3 linked regions of the Arabidopsis thaliana genome follow. The protein of the gene in region 2 interacts with the protein of the main gene of each other region in a pairwise test. Each region holds a gene or a part of one and is shown on either strand. Other genes may lie near its edges. The genes, in order: NF-YA4, AT1G55650 and DBP1.

Region 1 (7,260 bases), on a different chromosome or scaffold from region 2:
TAAGGTTATTAACTAATTCCACCACTCTTTTCTCACAATAACCCTGTGAGAGAAACAACAGTGTTCAATAAAAATCAAAACTTTACAACAAAATTTACTCCTTAATTAAGCTATCCCAGCTAATGAATTGAGATTACAAATCCTATAAGAAAACTCTAACGACCATGACCAAATAAAAGGAGAAGCAAACTTACAAGTCGAGGTAAAGTGACGAATTGACCTTAAGAAGAGCTAATCACAGCGTCGATTTCAAGGATGAGACTTTCTTCTTGTTCTTGCAGAGTTTTAGGGTTTCCAAAGAAAACGCATAGTAAAGGGAGAGAAAGTTTAAGAGGCGCTACGCTACACCTGAGCGGAGCGGGAGACTCGAGAACAAAGCTTATGCCCAGCTCCTTTACCCTTGAATTTACGATATTACCCCTATTAATTTTGTCTTTTGTCATTATACCTTTTTGAGAAAATACAATGTACATGTGTATGTATATTATGTGTTTGGCTCTATCTTAAACTATATCATTATTTCGGCTAACATTTGTTGACGAGACTTATTTTTTCATGCAAAGATGTTCACATTTATATATAATATAAGTAGCCTGTTCAAATGGGTCAAGCTCAATCCAACAAATTCAGTTTTTCATGGATTTATTTATTGTTTTCTGGGTTGGAAAGAGCTTATTCATTCGTTAATTTTAGTTCAATACTTCAATTCATTAGGGTTATTCATACTTATATGACTAAAATAAGGGAATTATAATATTTCTTTTATGGATATACTAGAATGTGTTGCTAAGACAATAATAATTGGAAAGAATTCATTGAGTTGATCTCATAATCATTAAGGTTTCTACCTAATTCAAAATCATTGTTTAGTCCAATCCAACTAATCCGATGATTAAATTAATCCGGATTCTTTTTAAAGAACTAATAAAAGATCGGAGCCTCTGTTTTAGAAGTCTTAACTTTTTGGTCTATTACTTTTCATAGCTTTATTCTTCGGTCAAGATGTCATTCTTGGAACAAGAAAAATGTTTATATGACTAATATGGTTGTGACATTCGATTAATTAATTATAGATTTCGGATGACATTTTAATTTTTTAGTATTTCTATTCTAGATATATTTTTGGTAATAAAGCTAGATTTGACAATATGATTGATGTTAAATTTAAGATTTATATGACAACTATAACAAGAGGTATTTCTAAATCTAAGTTTTACTTAATTTTTCTCTATAATCTATTTGAATCAATATACTTTTGAACACCCCTTCGATAAAAATTAGTATATTTATCTTCACAATTATAAAAGAATCTCATCCTTATCTTTCTATCAAATTTATGAATTTGGTCTCATCTCTATCTTTTTCTTTTGCTTTTACTTTGTGTAAGTGGTATTTTTTTTTTTTTTTTGTATCATGGATTAAACTAGATTATGACGGTTTGATCTTGATGGTTGGGGTTTAAGTCTTATTAACTAAAATCGTTCTTTTGAGGCGATCTTTGTAGGAAAAACCAAACTAGGATAGATTTGTGCTCAAATGAACTAACATAGAAATCTAAAACTGAAAATAAGAGACCTCATTAAGCTTATTGCACAAAACAAAAGTATGAGGGGAAAAGATTTAGATTGTCCCCAAGAATAGAATGACTTTAGTTTTGATTTCAAAGAAGGGGATAGACTATGGAGTTAAGTGACAACTCTCTACGTTAGTCTCACTGTTCTCACTACATGATTATATATAAGAGACTACTTGCTCATCTACTTAACCTAATTACATGAACTTGTGTTGGGTTTTTCCAATATCATGAACTTATAATCTTTGGTTTTGTTAGGAATGCTCTTTTAATCTCAGTGCTAAATTATGCTTGATATTTATAACTTTTTTTTTTTTTTTTTATATTTATAACTTTATACGTGCTGACATGCACTTGAGGACTTTGAGGTGTCGAATCAAGAATCATGATGATAAGGAGTTTAGGGATGAAAGCAGACTATATAATCGTATAGGTGATTAAGTAAGCATGGTTATTTAATGACTGCTCAGTCACTTCATTTACTTGTGTATTAATCATGTTTACTAGTTAGTTTTCGTCCATTTCCAAACGCTAATTTGTTGTTCAATGACTGCTCACTCACTTCATTTACGTTAAACGTTTCTTACTTGTCGAATGCATACTTACTTGATTTTGACCTATAGTTACTTGTCGAATACTGTGACCTCGTATAAGTGATCAAAGGCGTTACAACTTTTGGTGGTCTTTTACACATAAGTGATAGTTTTCAATTATTTTTCGAGTCAAAGCAATTAGCAAATACTTTTTTAGGAAAGTTTTTTTTTTCTTTTTTTTTTTTTGGGCAAAATTTTTAGGAAACTTATAAATAATAAGTTACTTATTATGGAATCATGTACTGTTTTTTTCTGAAGTCACTCATCACTCGTTCGTTTAAGTAGGTTTTGTTTTGTCACTGAACCGAAGTCAAACCAATCTAAATACCAAAGCTGGTTTAATGTCTCTGAAATTCGAACAAAACCAAAAGCGAACGGAATCTTCGGTTTCGATACCGACGCTTCTTTGATGACTCACAACGAAAGATATATTTGAGGGCAACGGGCACAAGTAGGGTCAGGCAAAACTAGTGGAGTTGAACAATCGATAACATATTCGGGCAGCTTTTCAGATCTGCCCGTCTTTTCCTACAATCTCGATCGTTGTTTCGACACTTGTCCTCATTGTATTAGCCTCCTTTTCACTGTTGCACATCGTGTCGTTTACCACTCCTACACATTTTCGTGGTTCTGAGTTGACCTATCACTACAGTGTGAGTGGAAAACATGAAAACGGCACGATGTTAATGAATATTAGAGAAGGACGGAGGCTATGAACTGAAAAAACGACATGGTGTGTCCCTCTTGGGTCTAGCCGTTTAGGCCTCTGTTAGTCATTTCGTCTCTTCCTTAGTTAGAACAAAAAAGGAGAGACCTTTAACAATTTTCTGAGGGTAAGATCCAGAGATTGATTGAATCAGCTTACTATTTTATATAATTCAGGTAAATTCTTATGTTTCTTTCCCTCCAGATTTTGAAAGTTTCTAGCTTTTGTTGTTCTGTATCTACTCGTTTCCGGGAAAATGCTTTTGCTATGTATGTTGAGATGTGATAGTAGAGGTTAAGATTGGTTTTTCTCTGTTCTGGGTTTGCTTTAGATTCTAGGGTTGTGATTGAATTCTGATTTTGGGGTTTTGGTTTAGTGAATTCCGATTCTCAAACTCTTGGCTTTGGTACTGACTTTTGTGCTTTGTTGTTGTTTCAGTTTGTTGTTCCTCAGACTTGTAACTAGGACAGTCTTCTCATGAATCATGACTTCTTCAGTACATGAGCTCTCTGGTTTTGTCTCTCTTTCTGACCATTTTCATTATGCTCTCGTTTTATTGTTGTATCTTCCTAACTGATTCTTGGTGGTATGTTTTGCTGGTCAGATAACAATGAAAGTCATGCGAAGAAAGAACGTCCAGATTCCCAAACCCGACCACAGGTTCCTTCAGGACGAAGTTCGGAATCTATTGATACAAACTCTGTCTACTCAGAGCCCATGGTAATTTCTCTCAGCCAAAATCTCAACTATTTGTGCAGGCTACATTCAATGAGTGATCTTTATTTCGATTATATGATATTTGGTTTAGTTTCTGTGTGATCTTGCTCTCGGTTATAATATGTTTGCTTGTGATTCTCTTTTTCAATGCTAAAAGTTTTGTTTTGATGCTTACAATGCCAAAACTTGGTTGTTTGAGATAATTCAAGCAAGAAAGTCCCGGGATCATCGCCTTTCTGCAGTTTTAGACTTCGTACGAATGTAAACTTTGATTGCTTTGAAAATCAGTCTTGAGATGCAGTGTAATGATAATGTTGATTCCAAGTAATGCTAAACTTTTTAACCTGAGATGATACGGTTTTTGTTTTTGTGTGTGTTGGTATTGAAGGCACATGGATTATACCCGTATCCAGATCCTTACTACAGAAGCGTCTTTGCACAGCAAGCGTATCTTCCACATCCCTATCCTGGGGTATGTATTATTTATTACTCAGCCCCAACGTCTCCGGTTTGGAATATTTAGAAAAGCTTTTGTTTTATTTTTAAAGTTTTTTTTTCAGGTCCAATTGCAGTTAATGGGAATGCAGCAGCCAGGAGTTCCATTGCAATGTGATGCAGTCGAGGAACCTGTTTTTGTTAACGCAAAGCAATACCATGGTATACTCAGGCGCAGGCAATCCCGGGCAAAACTTGAGGCACGAAATAGAGCCATCAAAGCAAAAAAGGTAAAATCCTGGCGGGCAAGTGCTGTAATTTGTTTGGTAGAATCCTTCCCAATAAGTTGTAATTTCTTGTTTTCAGCCATACATGCATGAATCTCGGCATTTACATGCGATAAGACGGCCAAGAGGATGTGGTGGCCGGTTTCTCAATGCCAAGAAGGAAAATGGAGACCACAAGGAGGAGGAGGAGGCAACCTCTGATGAGAACACTTCAGAAGCAAGTTCCAGCCTCAGGTCCGAGAAATTAGCTATGGCTACTTCTGGTCCTAATGGTAGATCTTGAGGAAGGTTTCTGCACAACCACAAGTTTAGTTTCTATTTTGGGTGGATGTTCTCAGGGCATCATCGTCTTTAGTGTTTTTGGATACGCTGTGTACAGGTTATTTGCTAGGGTAAACTTTGTTTTAGCGATTAGAAATAAAACTAAGCAAAGAAATGAAAAGTGTGATTGGAAGTATTGTTGTACCAAATTGATATTCTTTGCCAATGAACTCATGTTTTGGAAAGTAAATTAATGTTCTTAGCTTTGTTTGCTATGATTTTGAGGATAACTAACACTGATGATAACTACCACTGTGGATTAGTCCATTGTTAGACTAGACTGTTTATTGGTATTCTTCTATATATATGAAATGCATTCTACAGGATCGGATTTGACGTTGTAATTTAGGAGACAAGTAAAACAAGAATTCTTCCGATCTCATAATGTGGTCAATCACTAGGCTCGTTTTCATTTTTAATGAACACATTGCATGCATATCCGACCATATGCTCTTCCGATGATACATTTTGAATGACACGACATACATTATTTTACAATCACAATTCTCTTTTTATACGAGGTATTGTTTCTTTTCTCGACTTGTAGCTCTGTTTTAGTTTTGTCAAGTCTTTAGACCTGTTTACACCATTTTATTATTATCTTCTTTACCACATATAAACTTAGCCTTTTTCTTATATTCACAAAGAGACCATATTTCACCATTCCATTGATGATATATTGGTTAGATGTGTTGGGATAGAATTTGAAACATTGATTTCTGCGACCAAATGGATTCGTTTTGGGAAGAAGGTAGAATAATCTTAGTTTACCACTTTTTTTTATCCACTAAGCATAATCATTTCACTCCCAGACAGTTTATATTTCTGAAGTCATGTTTTGTTCTCTTGCGCCTTTTCTGTTTATTTATATATTTGGATTTAATAAGATTCCATAAAAGCATTGCTTTGATTTTCAGACAGCTTCTGGCTGAAGTTTTGGTTGTTGGCTTATTGCGCTTTAGCTACTGTCTCTCTGGAGTTTAGACAGTTGATGTGAGTTTATCAAATACTTATTAAAACAAAGTACATGTGTTTCCTTCTCTAGTCTCTGTATATGATGGAAAATTGGGAAATGAAAATTATATAAAGAATCTTTGTCAAATAAGATATTATGTCAAATATCATTCGGTTATTCTTCAAATTTAGAAAAAGCAACCAAGTAATATTTTTATGAAGAGATACCAGTGAACCATATAAATTAAAACCTTGAATATGAATTTATCTGAATTCCTTAGTACTTTCATTAAAAAATCCTAAGATGTATACTTATATATTAAATAATAGGACATAAATAACAATATATTATTGGAGTGTTTCCAAATGTTGACTGCATCAAAAGTTCTTTGCATTGTGGGTTAGGTCACATACACATGAATTGGTGTTCATGTGTGTGTATGTGGAGATGCATAACTCAAATCATAGGGAATGATTGCATGAAAGTTTCATTGGAAAAGAGAGCAAAATATAATGGATTTTTCATCTTCTTCATGGGTTGTATAGTGTGGGTTCTATTATATGAAAGGTCGACTATGTTCCTTTAGCTATACAGAACCGCAGGTTGACGCCCAGATAAAATTAAAAGAAAAACCAAAATGAAATGAACTCTTTTGATGGATCATTAGATCATATATATATACTGATCATCATATTCACACCATAATCAACTATAGTTAATTTGGTAACGGGTCCATTATTTGATTGAAATATTATAATCTTTTGGGTAAAGGATCAATTATTTTGATTGAAAACGATCCTCTTCTTCAGAATCAAACGCGATGTTGTCGTCATATGACGTAGTGAAAAAAATGTATATTTGTGGAACGTCTTTTATAAGCTCAATTGTTAAGGTCATGGCGAGTGATATCTACAAACTTTAATCCCACTCATAATTATTAAATTATATTATTATATGATCAAAAACAATATATGCATGAGCAGCCTATCAAACTTGGAGCCTTCGTTTTTATCCATGCCTGACTTTACACCTCTATCATTCCCATGCATGGGTCCCTTCCTCCACCTCTGTTGCTCTCTCTCTTTTTAACACAATAGAAACAAGAGATAGCGAGAAAGAGATGTGAGATTGAAGCAAAGGAAGAAGAACACAATTGTGACAAAAATAGGGCTTTTCTATTTGACTTTTTTTTTTTTTTTTTCACTTTCATTTCATTCCAAAGAGTGGAATAAAAAGACACTTGTGCTTTTCCCTTCCATTGAGTATGTGATCTCAATATCATTGCTGCATCGATTTCCCATTTATGGAGTAAACTCATGTTTTGTTTTTGTATTTATATATACGGAGAAAAAGCAAATCCTAAGTAATTATAATAAAGTTTGATTAGGTATTATCATGGATGCTTTCTTTTGGTATTAGGATTAGTTTTCTAGACTACATAATAAGAATTTCAACTGAAAACGTTTGTAGACTCTAGTCTTAATCCATGTAAATTTTTAATAATTATAGAGTAGACATGTTCAACGAAAACTGATCTCTGATTTCGATCTAACTCTAACCAACCATTGTATACTTTGCAACTTATGTAAGATTCATGAGATTGTGTTGGTAATACTATGTAGAGTGATTGAACTTCATAATGGTACGATCACCTTGACTTTCATATATATAAT
Region 2 (7,728 bases):
AGAACCCGAGACGCACTGAGTTTAGTACTCTCCATAAACCTTTTTCTAACAGAGATTTTCTCACCATTTTCCTCCTGGTCAAACTCACAATCCATCTCCGAAGATTCCCAAGTTATCTTCAAGGGCTCTTCGGTCCCGTTATCGGTTACATCACCACCGATGCTACCATTGCAAAATTTCCTCGATGTGAAGAGAAAGCGAGAAGCTTTACGAACCGCAACACTAGTGCTATAATGAATTACAGAGTTCATATTTGAGCTTAATCCAAAATAGATTTTTCTTCATCATCTCTGGAACTTAAAGGAACTAAGCAGACCCGAGAACTCTAAATTCAAAGACGAAAATCTCACCTCCGAGAGCCTCGGATTCGCAAAACCGCAAAAACCCATCAAACTATTGGCAATTAAGCAAATTGGAATCTAGATTTCTACAGATTCCATCTGAAATCGAAGATTACCTTGACGAAGAAGACGAGTTCAAGGGGTATAATGGTAAAATAACTGAACCTGGATCCCAGGTTCTACTCAGACGTCTCTGCCGCTGCTCTCTGCTTTTGAGAACTACCGAGAAGAGAATCGCTGAACCGAATCCACATTTTGAAGAGGATCCGACCCGACTTTTATGGGCCCTAAAATAAAACTGGCCCATCCCAAAACGTTAATCAACGTGGGAACCACTTTTTGTTTTGCTATATACCTATACCTTCAAAACTTTTAATTTCGGTTAAACTAGTTGACTAGAGAACTCAAAAGTGGTGTCCGGTGATCGGCGATGTTAGCACCGGGGGAGAGTGTTCTGATCCCGGCGGAGGAGATAAGTCTCTCCGCTGGTGATGTTATCTCCTTGTCGGTGCACAATCTAATAGCTTCTGTTTCTAGCTACCGTCCATGGTGGTCAGAATTTCTAGCATTCGGTTCCATCGACCGTCCAAGCTCTTTCTCCCCCGCTGTTTCGCGCGTTAAACTTAACCTTCACCACTTTGCGGTTAACTACGTACTTTTAACCGCTGCTTCCATCACACTCTTCTTGATCGGTGATCCGATGGCTCTTGTCACGGTTGCATCCTTTGTAGCCATGTGGCTACTCCTATATTTCTATAGAGACCATCCGTTGGTCTTGTACGGTCGACATATTAGCGACCGTGTTATCGTCTTTGGGTTGATTCTTGGCTCGCTTTGGGCATTGTGGTTCATTAATAGCCTCCAATGCCTGATTCTTGGCGTCGTTACAAGTGTCTTGCTTTGTTTGGTCCACGCAATCATACGGAATTCAGACGACCTCTTTGTACAAGAGAAAGATGTTGTTGTTCCTTCCAATTTCCTTCATTGGAGCTGACGATATGTCATATGCAATTATGTGATTACCTTTAAAATTCACGCACGCATTGTCATATTTGAATGTGGCCATGTGGGTTACGAAATGGTATCAGTATATTTTACATGTCCGGTCAAGCTTGCATATTTATTACTAGTTATTATCATTTCTGATATGCCCAGTTTTTTTCTAATCGTCTATTATCTTGAGAAAAATTTATGACCCTCCCTGTACACCAAAAATTTGAAATCAATACAATTTTTTTTAAAAGAAAATTATATACAAGAATAACCATAAGAATTGTTCTAAAACTACCTACCTTCACATTGTATCAACTTAATAGGGACATTATCTTTGTTATCGTACTCTCATCTCCGCTAGAGCCTTTCATAATTGCTCCTCTTGTCTTGTGGAAGCAATTAATGGATGGTACATTGGTACTCAAATATTCTTTTGTGAAATTTACTAACAAAGTAAAAGTTTCTTAGTCTAAATCTTTTAATTGATTATTTGTAGAGAAAAAAAAAATATGACCACAAAAGATTATGTCCAAAAATATTGTAATATTTGACCTATTCCAATTTTAATTTGTTTTAAAATCATTTCCCAAAAATTTCACTACAATTTTTTTTCTAAGAAAATTCTTACATGATGTATCTAAAAATCGATAACGGCTAATTTATTTTAGGGAAAATTGGATAAAAAAATAAATAATTGAAATATTGTCCATCTAACGCATGCAATATCATTGATAATTTTTATTCAAATACGAAAGCGACGAAGCACTCACTTTACTTAGGATCCTTTACTTAATATCATAATATAAATAAAATCTTATCTACTGACTACATTTAAAGGAAAAACCTTATCTAAAACTGCTACAATTCATAGAATGAGACTTTGAAAAACTTTCTCTCCCAGGCACGGTACCCAAGGAGGATATTAGAAGTATGTCTCCCGCTTTTAACCAGATCTATGTTTCCTTTTGCATCCCAAAAGTGGAAACTTCCAACGGTTATTAACCAACCCTAATGAGCTCCGACGAGATTTTGGGTGATTCCGACGTCTCCTCCTCCGCTTATCCCCTCTGTTTCAAGCTCTAATTTGGTTTTACATCTTACTCCCACTCTCCTCAAGAGTTCTCTCAGGTAGTTTTCTGGTTTCTCACTATGTCTTGTCTGCCTGTGTACTCTTGTCTCTTAACCTGTTAAACCTGTGCAAGCTTTTAACCCTTTTAAACCTTACTGCTTCTCCGAGAGCATTTATTTGAGTCCTGAAGAACTATCTCCCCAACCTCTTAGCCCACAATCTTTACTACACTCACCTGCACCCTTAAATATTCTTTTGTGAAATTTACTAACAAAGTAAAAGTTTCTTAGTCTAAATCTTTTAATTGATTATTTGTAAAGAAAAAAAAATATGACCACAAAAGATTATGTCCAAAAATATTGTAATATTTGACCTATTCCAATTTTAATTTGTTTTAAAATTATTTCCCAAAAATTTCACTACAATTTTTTTTCTAAGAAAATTCTTACATGATGTATCTAAAAATAGATAACAGCTAATTTAGTTTTAAGGAAAATTGGATAAAAAGAATAAATAATTGAAATATTGTCCATCTATGCATGCAATATCATTGATAATTTTTATTCAAATACGAAGCGAAAAAGCACTCACTTTACTTAGGACCCTTTACTTAATATCATAATATAAATAAAATCTTATCTACTGACTACATTTAAAGGAAAAACCTTTTTTGTAAAACTGCTACAATTCATTCAACATTTTGCAACAAGTCGTAAATCGTAATTAATTTAACGCGGATTATGTAAAAGGAAAAAGGGGATTTAGTATATGCATATGTGGTGGAGACAAAAACAAAATCTGTACATAAACATTAGGCCCCTAATTCCAGATAAGAAGATAAAAAAATCCTGAAAGTTGTATGAAAGTTCGTTCATTTATATCTCTGAAAGTTGAAAAATCTTTTCAAAAGAAAAAAAAAAACACTCCAAAAGAAACTATGTCGACCGATAGTTCACAATTTGAAGTTGTTCCCGCTAATGCCTCTGCTTTAGACAACGACGTTTCCTCTCACATGTCTATGTTGTATCAGGATATTGTCCGAAACCCCGAACTTTTCTGGGAGATGCTCCGGGATTTCCATGAATCTTCGGACAAAAAATTTAAGTGAGTTATGCATGTTCTTTTAGTGTTTTTGGTTTTCTTAATGAATTTTATTGTTTATAAAATTACAATTGTGGATGAAAAATCCTACTCTACATCGGGTTGATAAATTTATTAGAGATTCTACAACTTTATTCACAATCCATTGTATGGTGGGTTATAAATATACCAAAGGAGTCAGTAGACAGTAGCCTTGTTCTCCTTGGTTTGAGAAACACTGGGATAAGTGGCAATTTTTTTGTTTAAGGGAAAAAAATCTTCAAAATATTGTTATTGGAAAAGGTGACTTTGAGCTTTGGCCCTGAACTTCCTCTTAAAATAAAAATGACTCGTATTGTCGTAGATTTAAGGGCTTGATAAAATTTATTTGGCTAGATGGAAGCATAAACCAATTAGGTTATCGAATTGTGAAGGCACGGAAGTGTGTATGGCTTATTGAATTGGATCTGGTTTGCTCTTAAACTGTAGTCCAAAATCAGTCTTTATTTGGTTTTGACAAAAAGATTTGAATTGATAAGCCACGAAGAGCTGTAAGATTTTTTTTAATTTTTTTTTTGGTTACCGTTAATGCTAAATTGTTTTAAAAGTAAAAATGTTGGGAAATGGAAATTGCTTTTATGCTCTTCTGATATGTTCAATGTTTTGTGCTTCAGTTGATCTATTCTCTTGACTAAATTTCATTACATTAAACTGTTTCTGATTTTTTCCGTTTGTAAAGGATTCCTATTGTGGGTGGAAAAAGTCTTGATCTGCATCGGCTTTTCAACGAAGTCACATCTCGAGGTGGTCTTGAAAAGGTAACAAGTTCATAGTGCCATTGAACATCAAGTTTTAAATCTATTTTTTCTTCATTAAATATTATACAATTCTGTTTTAAAAATCCTATTGATTTTAGGTGATCAAGGATCGTAGATGCAAAGAAGTGATTGACGCATTCAATTTTAAGACAACAATAACAAATTCAGCATTTGTTCTAAGGAAGTCGTATCTTAAAATGCTCTTTGAATTTGAGCATCTCTATTACTTCCAAGCTCCACTTTCTACATTTTGGGAAAAAGGTCTTAAAATACCATTCATGATCTCTCTCTTTCTAATTCTCCAAGAAGATCCAAGATTAATATACATGTTTGTCCTTTCTTCGCAGAAAAAGCATTGAAGCTCCTTATCGAAAAATCTGCAAACCGTGACAAAGGTACTTAAAAATTCATGTTTTTGGATATGTTGCATGTTTTTTGCATTTATAAATCCAAAGTTTTTAGATTCTCTTCTTTCATCTTATTTTGAGTGTTGGGATTTGCTTTCTGAAACATATTCAGACTCTCAAGAACTGAAACCTGGCACCGTGATTACTGGGATCATCGATGGGAAATTCGAAAGTGGTTATCTTATAAGCACAAAGGTAGGCTCAGAAAAGCTCAAAGGAATGCTTTACCACATTTCTCCTGAAACTAAAAGAGGCAAGAAGAAAGCAAAATCATCTCAGGGGGATTCTCATAAGCCACCTAAGCGTCAAAGAACCGGTTACAACTTCTTCGTTGCTGAGCAATCCGTGAGGATTAAAGCTGAGAACGCTGGACAAAAAGTATCTAGCCCTAAGAATTTTGGGAACATGTGGACCAATCTCTCTGAATCTGATAGAAAGGTAATTCAAAAGACTTAAGAAATTAACTGATGATTTTAAACTACGTTTTCAAGTTTCATTTATCTCGAATGGATTTAACGGGTTTGGTTTATGATTTTTGAACAGGTTTATTATGAGAAAAGTCGTGAGGATGGGAAGAGGTATAAAATGGAGATTTTACAGTACAGATCTTTAATGGAATCTCGTGTGGCGGAAATTGTAGCCGCAACTGATGCAGGTACAAGTGCAAGTGCAGCGGAGACTGCGGATGAGGCGAGTCAAGAAAATTTAGCCAAGACTGATGCATGCACAAGTGCAAGTAGTGCAGCTGAGACTGAGGATGAGGTGAGTCAGTAGTGTTGACCGTTGAGATGGGTCAGTAGTGTTTCTCTATCGTTGTCTTCTCTATTTGTTGTAAGTTTATCTTTATGTTATGAGAACTTTGGTTAATAATAAGTTGTGGAATCTTGGCAACGACCCTTTCAATAAATTGTTTTTTTTTTTTTTTTTCTGCAATCTTAATGCCAAACTTTATGTTTCAAGAGTTGAGTTAGCTTGTCCTAATCGTCCTAGTATGAGACATGCCGTTTCTGAAAGTAACATCATGATTGTATTTTATTTTTTAAACCAACGTACTGTTGTGGGTCGCATGCAGAGGCTTCTCTAATCCATTCTAGTCTAAACATAACGGGCTTTCTTGTTATTTTCCTCAACGGGCCTTTTTGTTACATATATATTCATATTTTTCGAAAAGACCAAAAGTTACAGAATTAGAGTTATTTCAAAGGTTTCAGACGGTTTGGGCGGAGAAGTCAATGTTTGAAGTCTTACCCTAAGGAGAAAGATACCAGATTTAAACTTGGGTTTAGGGGAAAAACGGCTAAGTCATATCCGAACATTATGGGAAGTTCTTTTTATAGATGATATATGATCATTAGAAATATAAATAGTAATCATTTTAAATTTTATATCCACATTAACTAACAAATAAATGACACATACTTTGACCGTATCTCTGTGAATCAGCTAGTAATGTTTTGAAACTTCTATCCCAAACCATCATAGCTTACTATGACGCCATCTAAGAAAATAATATGACGCTGTATATATTTAAATTACTCTACTTTCAAAACGACGTTGGGAAATATAGAGATAGAGAAAAAAAAAGTGAAGATTTTAATGGATAAAAGAGAGTATGTTGGATTTCAATAATGAGAAGTTATTTTTTATAGAAATGATAATATGTTTAGAAATATCCAAAAATAGTTTAAATTCTTATACCCAAATTAGCGAATAAATGACACATACTTTGACTGTATCTGTCTCAATCAATCATTAATTTTTCAAATTTGTTCCCAAACCATCATAAAATGTGTACTAGGATGCCATCCAATAAAACAAGACGTCGTGTATGTTTAATTTTCTTTACTCTCAAAACGAGGTTGAAGAAACAAATTTCTCCAAAGAGGATAAAATAAAGAAAAAGGTGATGATTTCAATGGATAGAAGAGAGTATGTTGGATTTCAATAATGAGAAGTATTTTTATATAAATGATAATATGTTTAGAAATACCCAAAGATACTTTAAATTCTTATACCCAAATTAGCGAATAAATGACACATACTTTGACCGTTCTGTCTCAATCAACCATTAATTTTTTCAAATTTTTTCCCAAACCGTCATAGAATGTGTACTAGGATGCCATCTAATAAAACAAGACGACATCGTATATGTTTAATTTTCTTTACTCTCAAGACGAGGTTGAAGAAACAAATTTCCCCAAAGAAAATAAAATAAAGAAAAAGGTAACGATTTCAATGGATAGAAGGGAGTAGTTTCTACAATCTTCCCACAATTAAGAGGCAATCAAGATCAAATCCGTGAGTTAGGGTTGTTTGTTATATAATCATAGCTATCATCGAGTGAGACTTTCGATTCACATGAAAAGTTTTATTGATTTTTTATTTACAACAGAAACTCCATATATTATGTAGTAAGAAAGGACTTCCTCCTCGCTTATTCGTTGATTTTCAGTTTTCTTGCTTTCCTTTGTTGCTTTTTCTTTTGATCTCGTTTCGATTAAGGGAGAATCTAGATCGAATTACAACACATCTCTAACCAAGAGCATAATAGCTTAAGGTTCTATGATGAAATGAATCTCAAAAATTTATTGTTTTCATGTTTTTAAAACTTTTTTTGACATGGGACCATGTTAGCTTCATGAAAATGTCTTTTAGGTTAAGATATTTACATTCTTACATGTTCGTATTCGGACGCCTTTTACATTGCAAAAGTGTTACTTATTTCGAACTTATTGAATATATGGAACTTGAACACTTGTAGGTGTATGCTTATTCAAGATTTACATGAATGGATGGTACGAATGTAACGTGCACAGTAAATGTTAGATCTAATGTTTTAGTGAGTATTTTCCAACGAAATGTGTGGAATTCATGTTTATTACAAACAATTTCTTTTAAAACATTTCCTTCATTATTGATTATTCATTAAGAAAATTAATTAAGAGAACAAACCTGTTCGTTTGCCCTAGACAAGGCAATACATCTTATGTTCCTTTGTGTTATTATTCCTTGTCTATGTT
Region 3 (7,567 bases), on a different chromosome or scaffold from region 2:
CAAACCTGACCGTGTACCCCGATGCCCATTCAAAGTTATCTAGCAACGACCATGCAAAAAAGCCCTTAACGTTTGCTCCAATCAAGATAGCGTCTTGAACCATCTTGAGATGTCGAGCGTAGTAATCGATTCTATCGCCATCTTTAAGTAAGATTTTACCAGTGCTAGCTTCATCTCTCCCATTTTCTGTTATGTACATGACAGGGTCTTTGAACTTGTATTTTGCATAGAGGATAAGATCACGAATTCCCTTTGGATATATCAAAAGTCAATCTGATGCAGCTTTTGGACCAATGGGAACTCCATCTCTTTCGCCTGTGACGCTAGCACAAGGATCAGAGAACATTGTAACGTTTTCGCTTGAGCAAGGAACATCTTTTGCATAAGAAGACGAGTAATAATTGATGCCAATGAAATCATATGATCCCTTAAGCATGTTAGATTGTTTTGAAGTAAATGTAGGCAAGCGACCGCCTTTTACGTTGTTAACCATGTCAACCGGGTATTTACCGGTCACGAGCGGCTCCATGAAATAGTCGAATGTGAAAGCCATGGCTCGTGCCGCGGCTAACCTATCCTCAGCTGATTCTGTATAAGGTAAGTTCCAACCTGCATTCAAAGCTATACCGACTTGACCTTTTTGAGAAGCCTTATACTTTTTTCTATAGACTTTGATTGCTTCTCCGTGAGCTAGGATAAGGTTGTGACCAACGATATAAGGCTCGGTGGCTCCATTCCCGGCGGTGCAGTTAGGGTTTGTAAATTTTGAACACCTTCCTGGAGCCATAACACCTGCAACATATCCTTGTTGCACCACTGTTAATGGCTCGTTCAATGTAATCCAATGTTTCACTCGATCTCCAAAGCTCTTGAAACAAATATCGGCATAGTCGCGAAAATCATTAACAATTTCTGCCCCACGGAATCCTCCGTAAGCATCTTCAAGGTCTTGTGGTGTGTCCCAATGGAAAATGGTTGCGAAAGGCTTAATTCCTTTAGACAAAAGCTCATTGATCAAGTTGTTGTAATAGTCAATACCAGCTTGGTTGATTCCTCCTTTAAGATTCCCACGAGGCAAAATACGCGACCACGAGATGGAGAATCTATAGGCATTGAACCCAATTTGATGCAATAAACCCACATCCTCCTTGTAAAGATGGTAAGAGTCATCTGCAATAGATCCGTTGCTACCATCTTTTATCTTTTCTGGGTATTTTTCAGAAAACGTATCCCATATACTAGGTCCTCTACCATCTTCCTGAGCAGCTCCTTCAACTTGGTACGCAGAGGTTGCAGCTCCGAAAATGAAATCTTCTGGGAAATCAGTTTTTCTTAATTTAGGTGTTGAAGAGTGTCTCTTGGCAACAACTTCATTGGAAGCCAAGATGATGAACACTAGTACGGAGAAATATTTACTTGTCATTCTAAATTTTTCTTTTGATTATTGAATCTTTGTTTGTTGTAATATAATGAATTATGTCTAGAGTTATATAGGCAAGAGATTTGTTTTTACATTGGGTATGTGAATCTATAAATAGAGAAATGTAAGATAGAGATGGTGTAACAAATCTTTTAATTTTTACTTGTCCATAATTAGTGAATAGAAGACTATTGAAATGATCTTATCTAGTTGTCTTTCTAGTAGGAAAAAATTAGAAACACACTTGTAAATATTTTCCTTTTTCTTGTAACTACTTTTTTTATCCAACAATTTTGTAAATTCCCAAAATAATTCAAATAACTCTCTCAAGACTCCATTATAAACTATTCTTTTTTTTGTTAAATCCATTATAAACTATTCACAATGATCTTAACTAGTTATCGTCTTTATGATTTATGTCTCGAGAGAGTTATTTGAAATATCTAAGAAATTTACAAAAAAAAATGTTTTCTGTAAGTTTCAAACTAGTTTTAGAAAATCGTGAGTGTGGATTTGCATAAGATGATCAAGCTGTGTCCATTTTCTTGTTAACGTAGGTCTCTTATTGCAAAACCAATTTTTTCTTCTTCTTCTCTTCATGCTACGAGTCTTTTCTCTCTCGCTAAGGCTAATCTCCCTTTATTCTCTCACCATTCTTGTAAAAGCAAAGAACATGAGCATCAAGAAATTAAATTATTGAAGGTCCGACATGGAAGTGAAATTTGTAGAGTTGTAGTTAAACTTTGAAATACGAGGCCGAAATCAAACTAATCGTTGGAGTGACATAGAGTTGGGCTTCACTTTGGATCGATAATAGGCCAACTCATTTCAGTAGGAAGTACTTGGAGTGTTTTTCTTTTGTACTACACGCATGTACTACTTTTCTTTCATTTCACATCCAATAGAGTACTACTTTAACACACAAAGCTGAAAACTCCCAAAATTTGGTAGGATACAAGATTACAAAACAAAGAAAAAAAGGACGGACCAAAACTAATCGTGCACATAAAGATCTCAATGAATTTAATGAGTTAATTATTTTTATACGGTTCGATTTAAACCAAAAATCAAAAATGGCATCCTCAAAGAAAATTTTGCATGAATTAAAGACCAGTTTGGTTCAATGTTTTGTCATCAGTAACTACACAAACAAATACTTAAAATTTAATATATCTACAATAGTTTTTGTGTGTATTATTTGTTTCTAATTGACTTTTTTTACACCTGCCTAACAATCTCCCTTACACGTAATGAACTTCCAATTTACACGGAGAAACAACCACCCCTGTTGACACGTGTCATCACCACACCGACCGGCGGTGCATCACCCTTAGCTAATCCGGCTAACTCCAAACGTCGATGAGCAGACGGACGAGGAAGATTCTCCGGTACGATGGTCTCTAGCGAGTTCTCAAGCCAAGGCGGACACGTCCTCTTGTCACTCCACCTCCGCGGCGGCACCACACCCGCAGCCATCTCTTCTACCGGCGATTTCACAACCGCAGCTTCCACTGATGCAACATCATTGATCTGAATCCCGCCGATTACGACAGTTGCCGCCACCCCCAAGACAAAAGAACACTTGTTTTTCCGTGGCTCTGTCTCATTTTCTGTTCTCCTACTAAACAATAAAAGAACAAAGATCATTGATATGAAAAATTATCAGGTAAATAATAACTTTTCATGAATAGAAGAGATACCAAGAGATCTTTGACGTTGTCTTGAGCAGTGAAGCTAATGATTGTGCAGAATTTGAATCTAGGGGAGGAAGATTTAGACAGCAGCTTATTCTCCCTGCCATTGTTATTCCTCTGTTTTCGTTTCCTTCTTTTTCTTAAGAATCCACCTAGAACAAATTTTATTTTATTCCTTTCACCTCCAACATATATATAACTACTAACCCATTCTTACTTGGGTCACTCATTTTTTCTTACTATATATGTATCCTCAAATTATTACATTTCATATGCGCATGCAATACAAACCACATCTAAATTTTTCTTCCAATATGTTCTTTCTCTATACTTAACTAAAGCCCAAAGAATGAACTTAACCTAGAAAAGATGGACTTGACCCAATAGCATTGGTCCGTTGGAGATGTTAGGTCCATACTCCATACAAAGACAAATTGAACAAAAGTCGTGAATCTGTTTGCTACGTCTGAATAACAACGTACACGTATCACGCCTTGCGAACAAATTATTTGACAATGATGGCCAATTAGCATGTGTCATCACTTGTTACCACGTCAACAAGGTTCTTGTCGGTCCGTTTAATTAATAGTAACCATCGTTTTCAGGAAAAAAATCCACATAAAAAGTTTCTAATGGCGAAACAATATTCAAATATTTCCTAACAACTACCATGAGACTGATTCTTTTTCTCTTCCGAAAAATTAATGAGACTGAGTCCTAATTTTTCTTATAGTTAATTTGGTGACCATCAAAGAATGTAAAAGTATTTAGGAAACAGCACAAATAATCTGGCAATTACGGTCTACAACATGTTTATTTACTTATTTTTAAATTATAGAAAAATTTAATATTTTAATATCTTATATTTAATGCCCTAAATAACACTAAATCACACATATAAATAGCAGAGATATAAATATAGAAAAACATTCCAAGCATTTTTCAGTACTTAACATTTATACAGAAAAACAATTAAACATTTTTCAGCACTTAATAATTAACATATGTGAGAAATTCATAAACTCTATTAAATATTCATGAAAATAATGTATTTTTAATTTTATAAGTAATATCTCATGTGTCGACTTTTTTTATATAAAAAAGATGTAAAAAAGGTCCCAAGTTACTAAAATTCAATTTTGTCAACTTAACTCAAAATCTTTTTGCTATTAGTCTAAAATTTCAGATTTCCTTTCTTGCTATTTTTCAAAATACTATGTTTACTTCTCATATAAACTGTAAATATATCCCTTTTTTAATAAGAAAAAAAATCTCTCACTTCAAAAACAAAAAGGAAAAAAAAAAGCAAAGAGAAAAAGTAAATAATACGCCGACGTTTCGTGTTTATGTTAAGCTTCCTTTTTCCTTTTTCCTTTTTCTTTTTGCCTTTTAAATAACCGTCGGACTCATATTTCTCGCCTCCGCCGGCGAACAGTTTTATTATCTCTCTCTTTCTGCGTGTTCCAATTTCTTCCACAAAACCCTAATTTTCTCTTAAACCCTGAAATTCGTGTAACCTTTCAACAATCTCTTCAATTTTGTTTTCGATTCTGAATCCATTGTTTACGAATCTCTCATCTAAAGCTACATTCTTCGTTAAATCGTTTTTAATCGACTCGCTCACTCGTGAGTTGACTCGTCAGCTGTTTCCATAATTGCTTATTGAATTTTTATACGATGATGTTTCAATATGGAAGAAACTAGAGGAATTTCTGATCCAGAGAATGGGAGTTCGAGTTACGGCGGTAAACCGCCGAATCCACTCTCCTTCTCTTCTTCCTCCGCCGCTGCTGCCGTTTACAGGCAAACCTTCGACGGCGAGCGATCGTTGGCGCCGTGTAATAAGAGGTCACTGGTTCGACACTCATCTCTCGTAAGATTCGTTTCTCTTCAACTTGATTTGTGGATCAGTTAGGTTTATTTTGTGTATTGAATGATCAATTTAAGTTGAGGTTTTGTAATTATTGCTCTGCTTTTGGATTTGATCATTATTGGTTTCCTAATGTGTATAATTAAGGTAGAAAGTTTCTGTTTTTAATGTGTCATTATGAGATGTTTGAGGTTTTCTGATTGATTTTCATTTTGGTAGGTGAAGACAATGGTGTCAGATATATCTGTTGAGAATGAGTTTACTATAGAGAAGAACAAGTCTGAGTTTGTTCCTGCTACGCGTTCTGGAGCTTGGTCTGATATTGGCTCCAGGTCAAGCATGGAAGATGCTTATCTATGCGTTGATAATTTCATGGATAGCTTTGGCCTTCTGAATTCTGAGGCTGGTCCAAGTGCCTTCTATGGGGTATGTTCTTTCTTCAGTTTTCCTGATTTTTTGTAGATTTGTAGCATAAGCAAACAACTGTGAATGTAGTGAAAATATGGGGATCTCTTATTGAATTTTGTTTGTTATTAGGTATTTGATGGACATGGTGGGAAGCATGCCGCTGAGTTTGCATGTCACCATATACCGAGGTACATTGTTGAAGATCAAGAGTTTCCTAGTGAAATCAATAAGGTGTTATCTTCAGCATTTCTTCAAACAGACACTGCCTTCTTAGAGGCGTGTTCATTGGATGGGAGCCTTGCTTCAGGAACTACTGCTTTGGCAGCTATTCTTTTTGGAAGGTTTGTTGATTCAACTCTTATTATCTTTTAGTTTTGTCTAACCTAAACTCTTACATCTTGGTTATGTTAAAGAAAAACGTGTTTGGGAATAGATGCTTATCCTCAACTGCGTAGTGTGCATAATCTTGACCTTTAACACAATCATGTACAACTAATTCGCCTGTAGATGTATTCTCTGCCCATATGTGCTGCTGCTATAATGTAGTTATTGTCTCATATGGTCTTTGAGTCACGTATATACTTGCTCATTTCATACTCTATTAGTATTCTGGTATGAAACCGTTTGGTACCGTGTTAACATATAGTTTTGTGGTAACAGGTCGTTGGTGGTAGCAAACGCTGGAGATTGCAGAGCAGTCTTATCCCGTCAGGGAAAAGCCATTGAAATGTCAAGAGACCACAAACCCATGAGCAGTAAGGAAAGGAGACGCATTGAAGCATCGGGTGGACATGTATTCGATGGCTATCTAAATGGACAACTTAATGTGGCTCGAGCGCTAGGTGACTTTCATATGGAAGGCATGAAGAAGAAGAAAGATGGTTCTGATTGTGGACCTCTAATTGCAGAGCCTGAGCTCATGACAACAAAACTAACAGAAGAGGATGAGTTCCTTATAATTGGGTGTGACGGGGTTTGGGATGTGTTCATGAGCCAGAATGCTGTAGATTTTGCCAGAAGGAGACTACAGGAGCACAATGACCCGGTCATGTGTAGTAAGGAGCTGGTTGAGGAAGCTTTGAAGAGGAAGAGTGCTGATAATGTGACGGCAGTGGTTGTGTGTCTTCAGCCACAGCCACCACCGAACTTGGTAGCGCCGAGGTTGAGAGTTCACAGAAGCTTCTCGGCGGAGGGTTTAAAAGATTTACAGAGCTACTTGGATGGCTTGGGAAACTAATTGGGGGACATGAGGATGGTGACGAATGATTGATTTCTCTGTTTTTGTTTTGTCTTTTCTTACAATTTTATAGTTTGGGGTTTGGAGGTTTTGTTCTGTTAAATTCTCGCAATTTGAGTAAGTTATAACATGAGGCGGCATACAATAATTTATTGTTTGGTAGGATATATTTTTTTGTCACTTTTGCATAATAATAATTCTGCTTCAGTCTCATTTGTTTTGTAACTAGAAAGTTATTCCAATTCCTGCGTTTACCGAATATGTTGTGTTCTTGCAGAATGACGTATGTTAGATATGCAGTAAACTCGAGGGTCGGCTTTGACCACATCGCCACTTATCGGTTTGCGGATGCTGGAAAAGTCAGTCTAGTGATGAGGCTGAGTGAGCCATCGTCAGTTACTATTTTATCGTGAAACTCTGAACAACGAGATTGTCCCGGATATTCAAATGAGGAACAAGGCCCAATAGTCCGATCAAAGTGGGCTATTCGTATCGCTTACGAGGCCTATACGATGGTAATTGAATTCACGCGCATTCATCAGCGCGTGATTTGGAGTTGCTCAATTTCAGATCGCACAGGCTCTGTTAATCATCTCCTCCTCCGAAAGACAGAGAAAGAGACAAATCAAATTCATTCATATCAAAGAGATAGAGAGAAAATGTCCGGTGTGGCTATTCATGCGAGTTCATGGGGCGCGGCTCTGGTGAGAATCTCCCCGTACACTTTCTCCGCCATCGGAATCGCCATCTCCATCGGCGTCTCTGTTCTTGGTGCTGCCTGGTATAAATCCTTTTCTTCTTCTCCCCATTGATTTGCGAAATCATCATGCTTACGAAAACTATTTTGCTCTCTCTCTTTATGGTTTAGGGGAATTTACATTACCGGAAGTAGTTTGATCGGTGCCGCCATTGAAGCTCCTCGAATCACTTCCAAGAAT

What was found.
Region 1: the proteins of AT1G55650 (region 2) and NF-YA4 interact in a two-hybrid assay, tested with the Arabidopsis thaliana proteins (one large-scale study listed by BioGRID).
Region 3: the proteins of AT1G55650 (region 2) and DBP1 interact in a two-hybrid assay, tested with the Arabidopsis thaliana proteins (one large-scale study listed by BioGRID).

Annotation. Positions count from the first base shown.
Region 1 is NC_003071.7:14,647,352-14,654,611, reverse strand, and holds NF-YA4 (nuclear factor Y, subunit A4), read left to right. Parts: upstream 1-2,902; 5' UTR 2,903-3,048; intron 3,049-3,310; 5' UTR 3,311-3,356; coding exon 3,357-3,384; intron 3,385-3,476; coding exon 3,477-3,592; exon of another isoform or gene 3,593-3,938; coding exon of another isoform or gene 3,939-3,977; coding exon 3,978-4,061; intron 4,062-4,149; coding exon 4,150-4,314; intron 4,315-4,390; coding exon 4,391-4,594; 3' UTR 4,595-4,906; downstream 4,907-7,260. Other genes in the region: AT2G34730 (myosin heavy chain-like protein), read right to left, coding at 1-1. UniProt on the Arabidopsis thaliana protein: Stimulates the transcription of various genes by recognizing and binding to a CCAAT motif in promoters.
Region 2 is NC_003070.9:20,793,000-20,800,727, forward strand, and holds AT1G55650 (HMG (high mobility group) box protein with ARID/BRIGHT DNA-binding domain-containing protein), read left to right. Parts: upstream 1-3,340; coding exon 3,341-3,507; intron 3,508-4,222; coding exon 4,223-4,301; intron 4,302-4,399; coding exon 4,400-4,562; intron 4,563-4,648; coding exon 4,649-4,696; intron 4,697-4,820; coding exon 4,821-5,146; intron 5,147-5,251; coding exon 5,252-5,482; 3' UTR 5,483-5,595; downstream 5,596-7,728. Other genes in the region: AT1G55630 (Pentatricopeptide repeat (PPR) superfamily protein), read right to left, coding at 1-251; PRA1.G1 (prenylated RAB acceptor 1.G1), read left to right, coding at 772-1,335; AT1G55660 (FBD, F-box and Leucine Rich Repeat domains containing protein), read left to right, coding at 7,695-7,728. UniProt on the Arabidopsis thaliana protein: Binds preferentially DNA with A/T-rich content.
Region 3 is NC_003071.7:10,902,216-10,909,782, reverse strand, and holds DBP1 (DNA-binding protein phosphatase 1), read left to right. Parts: upstream 1-4,515; 5' UTR 4,516-4,804; coding exon 4,805-4,987; intron 4,988-5,203; coding exon 5,204-5,410; intron 5,411-5,521; coding exon 5,522-5,733; intron 5,734-6,052; coding exon 6,053-6,629; 3' UTR 6,630-6,788; exon of another isoform or gene 6,789-6,906; 3' UTR 6,907-7,067; downstream 7,068-7,567. Other genes in the region: BGLU14 (beta glucosidase 14), read right to left, coding at 1-250, 302-1,423; AT2G25625 (histone deacetylase-like protein), read right to left, coding at 2,684-3,041, 3,121-3,221; AT2G25610 (ATPase, F0/V0 complex, subunit C protein), read left to right, coding at 7,142-7,410, 7,498-7,567.